3 linked regions of the Arabidopsis thaliana genome follow. The protein of the gene in region 1 interacts with the protein of each later gene in a pairwise test. Each region holds a gene or a part of one and is shown in the gene's direction. Other genes may lie near its edges.

Evidence for each region.
Region 2: the proteins of ERF7 (region 1) and OFP15 interact in a two-hybrid assay, tested with the Arabidopsis thaliana proteins (one large-scale study listed by BioGRID).
Region 3: the proteins of ERF7 (region 1) and ANAC026 interact in a two-hybrid assay, tested with the Arabidopsis thaliana proteins (one large-scale study listed by BioGRID).

Annotation. Positions count from the first base shown.
Region 1 is NC_003074.8:7,084,767-7,088,525, reverse strand, and holds the start of ERF7 (ethylene response factor 7), read left to right. Parts: upstream 1-1,631; 5' UTR 1,632-1,834; coding exon 1,835-2,569; 3' UTR 2,570-3,759. Other genes in the region: ABCI15 (trigalactosyldiacylglycerol2), read left to right, coding at 1-61, 588-678, 777-869.
Region 2 is NC_003071.7:15,135,256-15,139,014, reverse strand, and holds OFP15 (ovate family protein 15), read left to right. Parts: upstream 1-2,002; 5' UTR 2,003-2,377; coding exon 2,378-3,163; 3' UTR 3,164-3,447; downstream 3,448-3,759. UniProt on the Arabidopsis thaliana protein: Transcriptional repressor that regulates multiple aspects of plant growth and development through the regulation of BEL1-LIKE (BLH) and KNOX TALE (KNAT) homeodomain transcription factors.
Region 3 is NC_003070.9:23,217,464-23,221,222, reverse strand, and holds the start of ANAC026 (NAC (No apical meristem) domain transcriptional regulator superfamily protein), read left to right. Parts: upstream 1-2,013; 5' UTR 2,014-2,460; intron 2,461-3,222; exon of another isoform or gene 3,223-3,277; 5' UTR 3,278-3,306; coding exon 3,307-3,466; intron 3,467-3,566; coding exon 3,567-3,759. UniProt on the Arabidopsis thaliana protein: Transcription activator that binds to the secondary wall NAC binding element (SNBE), 5'-(T/A)NN(C/T)(T/C/G)TNNNNNNNA(A/C)GN(A/C/T)(A/T)-3', in the promoter of target genes.

The DNA of each region.
Region 1 (3,759 bases):
GCTTGCTCAAGGAAGTTGAGTGTCTTACTCGAAGCCTTACCCAAGCTTCTGACGATTTGAGGTAATAGCTCTTAGTGGAACAATCTTGGCATATCGACTGTATATCATTATGAATATTTTGAATTCCATAGTGCAAATGCAAAACTCTTTCTGCATCATGATGAAAGCAGACCTTACGATAGATATAAGCACACTAGCTTCAATTTCTCGTATGTGGCTTCAACACTCTATTTGTGGATTAAGTTTCTGAACAAGAGATGATGGTTAAAAAGTTAAAACACATACATATCTATGCATAAATGTGTCTTATCTTATGGGTTCCATGTTAAATTAACTGCTTTGCTCATCAGTGCTTTTCAATCTTTCCTCTATTGTCTTAAAATTTCAATAATTTATCTTGTGTTGCCTCTACTTATCTTCTGCTAGCCTACTGTTTCTGTCACTTAATGTATGTTCCTGGACCACATATATGCAAAAGCTCGTTTACTTACATACGTATGATCAACTGAGTGATAACTGTGATTATGAGAACCTATATTCTTGCAGTAGACAGCAAAAATATAATTTTCATTTTGGTTACATTGCAGAAAGGTTAATTCGTCAATTATGACTCCTGAGAATACAGAACTCATACAGAAGTCAATCTACACTCTGGTTTATACTTTGAAGAACGTCGAGGTAAACTTTTTTTTCTTCTTATTCTATCAATACCAGCTTTGACAAGTTGGAAGAAACAATGTTAACAAAGACTTGGTTTTTGATTTTCTTGATTGTAGAGTATAAGCTCAGATATTCTGGGATTCACAGGAGATGAAGCCACAAGAAAAAACCTTAAACTACTCATCAAATCCCTAAGCAGGCTACTATGATCAGCCTGTAGATTTTAGACTGGATAAATAAAATCCAGAATTTTATGGTAAGCAAGTTTTAAAAATTCGAAAAATGTGTTGTTTCTTCTTTAGAGTTATTTTTGTTTTCGTTTTGTGTTCTGAGATTGGGGTTTAATGGAGAGACATAATTCAGTTTTTATAAGAACAAAAATGTTTGTTTCTCCACATTAATGCGTATCCTCAACACGGCATTTACTTTTAACACGGGAGACGACGACGATGCCGATAAGCGCGTCTCGTCTCTTGTAGGGTCCCAAAGGAAGGAGAAGAAACTAATAATAATTTCGAAGAGGGGTGTATTATTAAATAAAATAAAATAAAATCTGGAGGGTGTTTTTGGTCATTACAAGTGGACTATTTGGTCTCTAGGTGCATCAATTTGATAACAAACAAACAGTAAGACATAAGATTTTATTATATAGATTGTGGTCAGGGTCAGGACAGAGAGTGCAAGTGCTTACCCTCTTTTACTTTCTTCGCATTTCGAGACATCTCTTGTGAACTCTTTTTTAATTTTTTGTTTTTTTTTCTCCACACAATATATCGAATAAAAAGTTTAAAGCAAAAGAAAAAAAGAATCCAAGTTAGGAAAAATGTTACTCCATAATTAAATTTTTAAAGAAACGAATTGGTCGGTCTTGTGGGTCGGGCGTGAAGGTAGAGAAAAAATCGAAATTAACAACCAAAAAAAAAAAGAAAAGAAAAAGCTATTCCAACCATAAATTATTATTTTAATTAATTTATTAAATGAAAATTCTTTGAGTAAATTATTTAGAAAAAAAAAAAGAGAATTATAATAATAATTTCCAATCTCTACCCTTTGTTCCTTCATCTTCTTCCTCATCTTTCTTCTCTCTTCAACATTTTCTTCTCTTCTTCACACAAACACACACAGATCTCTTCTTCATCACATTACTTCTGGCTTTACATCTTTTTTCTTCTCCATGAGGAAAGGGAGAGGCTCTTCCGTCGTTGGACCCGCCCTTCCAGTAACCGCCGGTGGATCTGTGAAGGAGCCGAGGTATAGAGGCGTTAGGAAGAGACCTTGGGGTCGATTCGCAGCTGAGATCCGTGATCCATTAAAAAAATCTCGTGTCTGGCTCGGTACTTTCGATTCCGCCGTAGATGCTGCACGCGCTTACGATACCGCCGCACGTAACCTCCGTGGTCCAAAGGCCAAGACCAATTTCCCGATCGATTGTTCTCCTTCTTCTCCTCTCCAACCTCTCACCTACCTCCACAATCAAAACCTCTGTTCTCCTCCGGTGATTCAGAACCAGATCGATCCGTTTATGGACCATCGGTTATACGGCGGAGGTAATTTCCAGGAGCAGCAGCAGCAGCAGATTATTAGTCGGCCGGCGAGTAGCAGCATGAGCAGCACCGTTAAATCTTGTAGCGGACCGAGACCGATGGAAGCCGCGGCGGCGTCTTCGTCGGTGGCGAAACCGTTACATGCGATTAAGAGATATCCGAGAACTCCACCGGTAGCTCCGGAGGATTGTCATAGCGACTGCGATTCTTCGTCGTCTGTTATTGACGACGGAGATGATATCGCATCTTCGTCTTCCCGCCGGAAAACGCCGTTTCAGTTTGATCTTAATTTCCCGCCGTTGGATGGCGTTGACTTATTCGCTGGCGGGATAGATGATCTCCACTGTACCGATCTACGTCTCTGATTTGCTGCTTTACAAAAAAAATCCGTTGATTACACACAAAAAAAATTCTCAAATTTTACAAAATGATAACTTTATGCTCTTTTGTTTTTCCATTTTCCTTTGATATCATATTGAAAGAGAAAAAAAGGAAGAACAAAAAAAAAAGATTGAGCGTGATGATTTTATCATCAACGAAGATGATGACGATTAAAAAGAGAGAGAGATTGTGTTAAGATCTGTTACTGTAAGAACCAGATCTGGGTTTCATTTTTATCTGTTTCTTCTTATAAAAGATCCAACAACCCTTTGTTACATATATATAACATTCTGAAGCTGGTGATGATTTCTGAATGATTCAAATCCATTATCTTTAGATTTCTACTTATTCATAGAGTGTCCCCTGATGTAAGTAGGAAGCTGCATTTACATAGTATGTAACAGAACCACACAGGGCACAAGTATTTGTTTGTGTTTTGTCTCTTGGCTTGATCTTGATCAATTCAGGGTTTCTTCTATTCAACAAGTAAAGCTTAGTGGTTCTCTGAGATGGAAGCAATAAAAAGATGAAAGGAAGAAAGACGGTGAAGCTCCTTTGCTATCTAATTGGGTGATTCGAAGAGGAAGTTAGAATACTCATTGTCATTGTTAAGCCTCAAGTTTTCATTCATCAGCGAGGAGACAAGAAAGGCTTTCCCTTTTGTGTACCCAATGAATATTTTGGATGGTGAAGAACATAGAGATTAAGGGCATGGTCAATGGGCGGTGAGTGGTTTTGTTGTGATCGATAAAGCTCAATGAGCACAGGCCAAATCTTTAGGTTAAAGTTTGGTGGCTGAGATGATTGTTTTGATCTTTAAGAGCTGTGGGTTGAGGTGGCAGAATTCGTTGTGTGTTTGACCTTTTTGATTTGAATTTGCTGGTAGAGAGTTTTCCCAATTTTGGTATCTACTTTGCTTCTATGCCACGGATTCAGACAGTGAATCTTTGTGTCTGAAGCAAAAACCGAGTATTTTTTTACCGTTTTGGGGTAGGCTTCTTCTTAACTTAAAGTGGAAGTCAAAAGCAATGTCTTGTTATTTTCACTGTAACGATTTAAGACAACTGATCTCAAGTCGCTTTTCCTGTTTCGGTTCGTACTCTTAATAATCTTCTATTATTCTGGAGTTGAGATTAATCCACAATGTTACTTTTTACTTTTACAACCTTTCGAG
Region 2 (3,759 bases), on another chromosome or scaffold:
GTTTATTCTTAATAAACATTACTTTTGGAACGGGCTATGCATGGTTTCATATGAAAACTTCGAAATATTGTTGATATCGTTTGTTGAGAATCTCGGATTCGGATCTTGCTTTATCGACTTGAAATTTATGAACCTAAAAATTACAATCTATCGCGATTTGGTTGTAAAAATGAATCCTGAATCAGGGTCTATCAGCTTTAACCTTAATAGCCAAACTATGATCTATCAGACTATCATGACTTGATCATGACTTTCAATAGTTATTAAAAGAAAAGCGTGAGAAAACAGAGAAAATTATAAAAGTCCGTAGTATCTATCATGGTTTGTGAAATACATGTTGAAATCTTTAGATACATGATCCATATATTGTTTCTCTGCATGATCTAAAGTTTAGACCCTGCATAAATAGTGTTAATACTCATAGTTACTCTATGGACCAAAATACTATTAAAAAAATACAATGATTAGCTAAGAGGGATGGATATTGTTATAGAAAGAAAATGTGATTATTCGAATGAAACGTCTACGAAGCATCCATGAAGACAATGTCTCATAATAAGAATTTAGAAGGCATACAGCTTTCAATCATTATCTTCGCTTTTAAAAATCCACATGATTTGTCTAATCTCTCCGCTCGTAGTTCTATAATTATTTGGAAGCTTCTACTTTTATATATAATATATTATTATTTGTCAATTGAGATGTTTTTAGCTTTTTAATATTTGATATGATAATGATTTTGATATCTCTCCTCCCGTGTCGCAATCTCTCCACTGGCGACGCGTGAGAGGCACGTGAGTGAAAGTTACGTGCAAAATGGAATTGTGATTTGTGTGAGAGACTCACATGGCATTGCCTTTTTTTATAAAATATAAATCACCGATACGATCTATGATTACTTATTTTTTTAATTATTTCTATGATCTACTGCATTCTACAGAAAACAATATACATTCACAGTTCAGTTATACTATTTTTATGCAAGAATCATTCTCAGTGAGAAATTAAACTATCTATTTCGAGCATTACATGTAGTAATATTTCTAGAATTATTGACATAAAAGTTAACATGCAATATACATTATACGTAATGTATTGACAGATGCAAACCTATAGATAAATATATGTAAATAGGTTTCAGGTGCGAGCAGTTTCCATGAAAGAGAAACACAAAAAATGTTTCCGATTTGGGGAGGAGGCGTGTAATAACAATTAGTATTAAATACAACATTATTGCAAAGTTTGGATATTGTCTGATTTTACAAAATTTCTTAAAATTGACCTCATATCTTTTGTTTGTTGGTCAGTTGGTTGGTTGATTCGTTGGTTTAACTGGTGGTTGAGTTTTTCTTGTTATGGAGTATATAATTATCTATGTTTCATTCTTTTCCATTTAAATCATTTATCTTATGTTTGACGTCTAAATTATGATTGATATTTTTGGATTTCGTTTCTCTTTGGGTTTTGCTGTATTTTGGTTTCAAATTCAAAGAATAGTAACTATACAAAAATTGAATACAAATAGTATTGATAATTCTGATACGATTTTGGTTTTTGATTTACATGACTATCCATTATAGATGTTTACTTCTGTAGACATGGATTCAGAATGGAACTAAATTAATTAAAATAATAAATTGAACTATCTTAATGTGACCTAATATTTTGTCTTTCTTTAGAAATAACGATTACGTTCCTTTGCCACGTGCAATAACATATATGTAGTCCCCAAGTACGGAAGCTTCAATTATCTTTTTTGAAATCACGATCATTGACACTTAGCTAACTTTCAAAACAATTGATATTATTTTTTTTATTCATACAATAATGTAACACAGTAAACGATGTTAGGCGAATTTTTATTTTTAAATATCAGTCGGATTCAAAACCAATAATTTGTGATATGCTCCTACATTCTAAATGATAAAATAAACCATGTAGAATCCTTTCAACATACTTTGTGAATTAAGTCAGATTGAAGAAGCTACGATGAATGGAAAAACGAAAACAAGAAAGTATCATTCATTATATAATAAATACGTAAACAGCTTAACCGGGAAAAGGTACTGAATTATAGTATTGAATGAACCCCAACCAAACAACATTAAATTTTGAAGCCAATAATTAAATACAACAACCAAATACATTTAATAAAGAAATTTCATAGACGTTAAAACAAGTAAAGAAATAGAGACCCTACCAATCCTCTCTGTCCTTCTCCCCTTCAAACCCTTAAAATCTTCCCTCCCTCACTCCATTAACTCTCTCAGTTTCTTATTTTTGAATCCAATCCCCAAAACATATAAACAAAACTAAAAGAAGAAAACCAAATTTAGTTTCTTGTCTTAGTTTTCTCAGAGAAAACAAAAACAAAAATATGAAACTCCCATTTCTAAACAAGAACCACTCAACATCTTCATATTCTTCAAATTCATCATCCTCTTCATGGCCATGGCCTTCTTGTAACCAAAACCCTAAAACCTTATCTTTCAGAGCCACCATCACTTTCACCAACCCTATCCACGACCAAGACGACGATGAGCTCGACCTGCTCGACCCACCGGAGATTACAGATTCCGTAGAGAATGTGATAAAAGGGCTAAGATCATCAGAGAGACTCATCTTCGAAAGCAAAGGAGAAACCAACTCTATACTTGAAGAAGCTACGAGCAAGCGAGAAGAAGAGGACGAAGAAGAAGGCTTCATGCTCTTCTCCTTGGAATCAGACGACCCTTACTCTGATTTCAAGAGATCCATGGAGGAGATGGTTGAGGCACACGCGCTTCACCACGACTGGAAAAGCCTCGAGAAGCTTCTCCTTCAGTTCTTGAAAGTCAACGCCAAGACCAGCCATCGATATATCTTCGCGGCCTTCGTCGATCTCCTCATGAACTTAGCACTAGACACGAAAAAAGCCATCATCAATAACGACATTTCCAAAGATGACGGCGTCTCGGCCTCACGCGCCGCCGCTGCTGGAGAAGCAAGCACTTCTTGTTGTAATAGTATGACTCTTGGCGAATCTCCATCGTCTCCCTTGTCGTTTTACACGTCGTGTTCTTCATCTTCTTCCTCCGATGAGACTTCCTCGATGTCCGTACGTTTCTTGCCGCTGTCTTCTTTGTTAGAGATGGATGAGAAGACTAAAGAGATTTTAGTTTAGAACGGTTTTGCATTTTTTCTTAATTAATTTGTTTTTTTTAGCTTAATTAAAATTTGTGCAGAATTGTAACATTGGCTACCCCGACTACACATATGGAGATGATGAATCGTATGAATATTATATTGGTCTGTATTGTGCTCACTTTTTATATTTTTCATTAGTGTGGAATTTTTCGTTTTAAGTAGGATGATAATAGTTGAATCACACTTAATTTTTTTGTTTCTTTCGTAAAAACAAGTTTTAGGCCATTGGATCGGTTAATTAATCTCAGTTTTTGACACAACGTGCGTTAAAATATTTGCAACGTTGGTTTTTTTCCGTCTATAAGAACAAAAATAATAATAATAAATAGAATACAAAAAAAAAAGTTTCTTTCAAAAGCTTAAATAGAGTAGATTGCAAATAAATGCTTTTAGCTTTCAGTCAAAACATCAAATATATTAAAAGGAGTTAATTTGATTATTGACCATTGAGTTGAATTCTGGAGACTATGAATCTATGATGAACCTACAAGTACAAACAATTTATCTACATAATATTTTCACAAGAATTGTTTTTTGGCATTATTTGAAAAGAATCAGACAAAAGTTTGATAT
Region 3 (3,759 bases), on another chromosome or scaffold:
AAATAACTCAATGCCCATTTTCCAAATTTTATTAATTAATAAATTTCGCTGAAAAACAACTTTGCCCTAAAGTCCCAAACCTCAGCCGCAGACTAATCCAGATTTTGATGAACTTACCTAAAGTTGTATTGTAATTTCAATATTACCTAACTTACCTAAATTAGATCTAAAAATCTTATTTTGGTAATTAGTTACAAAACTAATTATCCAGTGAGAAAGTTAAAGTTTAGCTGTCAACCAATATCTAGAGAAAGTCAACTCAAAATCAGTTTCATTTATGAAATTTGAAATGTTTCTTATATGATAACCATGCAAATTACTTTTTTAAGCTAATGTCATCCAATCGTAACAAGAAAATAACATACAGTAATGAAAAATATTAACACTTCGTTAAGCAATATGTGTTTTGTAGTCATAGACAAAAAAAATGTAAGATTGAAAAAAAACTAACAGAAGGCATATTTTACATGGCATTCAAACTATGTTCATGAAACGGAAACTAGCTACGATCAACATCACTACCTTCAATGTTACCTCAAATCTCACAAAATGAATTTCTAATGACAAATGTATGCTGTTTTCTTCTAAAAGACTAAAAGTGTAAAAACGAATACATGTTTTATATTTATTTTCATTTTTGATTTAGCGCCATTAACTCATGAACCTTTTTATTTGTATTATCAGTTCATCATATATAATACTATAATAGGTTGAGTTTTAGAAAACAACTGAAATTCTGTCACAAATGTCTAGATGAAGCTGATATTAGTTAGATTTTTTTATTTTTGTTGTTGTTGTTAATTTCCCTAGAACATTGGATGAAAGAATTTCGATAAAGATTTATACTCCCTCTGTTTCATATTAGTTGTAGTTTAAGGTTTTTTTCACACAAATTAAGAAGTCATAAAAATCTCATTTAATCTACCTCTTTTATATAAAAACATCATTTATTATAACCAATTCAACCAATAAAAAAATAGATGATTAAATATAATTGGTTAAAGAATACTAAATATATTTATTATTTGCATAGAAAGTTGAAAACAACACTTAAATTGAAAAAAAATAAAAACCCTTAAGCTACATTTATATAGAAACAGAGGGAGTATTGAGTTGCAATAGAGTATGGGGTGAATTAAAGTTGAAAATTTAAGCGTATGCAAAATTTGCTTTCACCTATGAAAATAAATTGAAACCTACTCTACTCTTTTAACAGAAGACAATTAATATTAATGATTTTTTTTTGTTAACATCTAATATTGATGATTTAAACTTTCAAATAAAATGTGTGTTGTTAATGTTGTTATATATGGGTCATAAATTTCACAAATAAGAACGGGAAAACGGGATGAGACCCACATGACCGAACAGCAAATTGTGAGATTAATGATCGAAGCCTATCTCACGCCAGACCATCAGCCGCCACGTCAACACATTCCAATTGTTGGCGGGCCCTTGATTCCATTAATAGTGGCTCCAATTCCACATCTGATTTTTTCATCTATATATATTATTTTGTTTCGTGTTTTTATGTTTTGTTTTGTTTTGTTTTATAATAATTTGGCTAAACTGGATGGTAATTAAGTCTCATGCAAAGTAAAAAGAACATACGAAAGTCTCAATATAGTTATGCGATGTTTATCGAGGATTCTTAGACACTCATGTTAACATTTAGACTACGAATTTGGACCGTAGAACATGACTGAGTTAAGTCTTACAGAAATCTATGAACTTACTTTTGAAGATGCCAAAGGACAAAATGTTCAAAGAGAATATGTGTCCCATATATATAACGGTATTTAAAAAAGAAAAAAGAAGATATTTTAAACTTTGGACCGTCTCCATCAAGGGCTGGTGGGTGGTAATGGATCGGAGGTTGCCGCTCTCTTTCTCTATCAAAATCTTGCTTTAGTACCAAAACCTTATTCGCCTCTCTTTTCTCCCGAAGCTTTTGCAACAATTTAAGTCTCTCTATCTCACTCGGGGTTATTAAAAGACATAGACTATGATTGAGAAGGACAGAGAGAGAGAGAGACAAAGTAGTATAGATTATTAGGACACGGTTGTACACTTTTTCATGTGTCTTCTTCTCTCTTTTTCTTATTCTTATTCATCATCATCACCGTCTGATCTTCTTTATTAACCCTACTCTCTTTCTCTTCTCCCATCCTCTCTCTCAATATCTCTGACTCTTGGGATCCGATCTCTTTCCGGTGGCTATACATCCCGATGATAACTGTCAAATCTTTTCCATATGCATAACATCTCCTTTTAGGGTTCTATCTATCTCTTTCTTTAGTTCTGATCGTACTTTATAGTGCATATCGTGAAGTATTCGATCTTTCCAAGTACAAGGGAAAGATTCAATAGAACCTAGCTAGTCACATACAATAACTCAATTCCGGAGCTTTTTGAAGGGGTTGAGTTGAATCAGCCTGTTTTTGAGTTTTTTTTTTTGAGGTATAGACCCTAACTTCCTTTGAAGATTCTACTCCATCTTTGATCCTCTTCTGTATCTCTATGTTTTTGGATATATTTACTATTTTTATTTTCTTGATAATTGTTGATTTTTTAAAATTATAATTAACATCATTATCCTACTCAATGTTGCTGATGGTACAAGCTAAGCAAAGTATAATCCTTAATAGACTCGATCGTGGTCTAGGTTTTTCCTTAAGATTTGTTTTTTTTCGATTGGTGATTATAGAATGATCCTATAGATATTTCTCATATTTTCCTTTGACTCTATTTACGGATACTTAAAATGCAATTATCAGTTAATCTAACATATTAATTTATGATTAGTTATACGGGAAATGGTTAATTGGAAACTAGTAGTGATATTTTATTTTATGTATCCTTATTCCATCTTCCAGAGTCCTTTGAATCTAAACTCATTTAATCGGCTTAAATCAACTATCTTTCTTTTTTTCTAAAGATGTATAGATATTTATAGGTTTCTTATTCCCACAAAATACTACACACATGAATGTCTTAAATGATACATATGTGTGTATAAATAAGTCGGAAAGATAACCCTAACTTGTGTCTGGCTAAGTAAAAGAAACGATGCAAATCAATGCTAGATCATATATAAAACAAAATCTTGAAAACGAAAAACTGTTTTTCTTAGTTTCATTGACATTTTTCTTTCTTATTAGTTTGCCGATGCACAGATTTTTTTTTTTCTTAAGTTGATAAATGAAATGAGTTTGTATAACAATTACTTTCATGATCCATAATATAATTAACAGTCGTTATTTCATATTATAAACAGGCTAATCTCGGAAAAACAAAGAATAAAGAATGAATTCGTTTTCACAAGTACCTCCTGGCTTCAGATTTCATCCTACTGATGAAGAACTTGTAGACTACTACTTGAGGAAAAAAGTTGCATCAAAGAGAATAGAAATCGATATCATCAAGGATGTTGATCTTTACAAGATTGAGCCATGTGATCTTCAAGGTTTAGCAGGAAAATCCTATCATCTCTCTTTAGTAGTGATATCCTTGTTTTGGTATAAATTAAGGCTTACGATTGTTGTTTTTTCTTTGTGATAATTTAGAGTTATGCAAGATAGGAAACGAAGAGCAGAGCGAATGGTACTTCTTTAGTCATAAAGACAAGAAGTATCCCACGGGAACTCGAACCAATAGAGCCACGAAAGCAGGATTTTGGAAAGCCACTGGAAGAGACAAGGCTATATATATAAGACATAGTCTTATCGGTATGAGGAAAACACTTGTGTTTTACAAAGG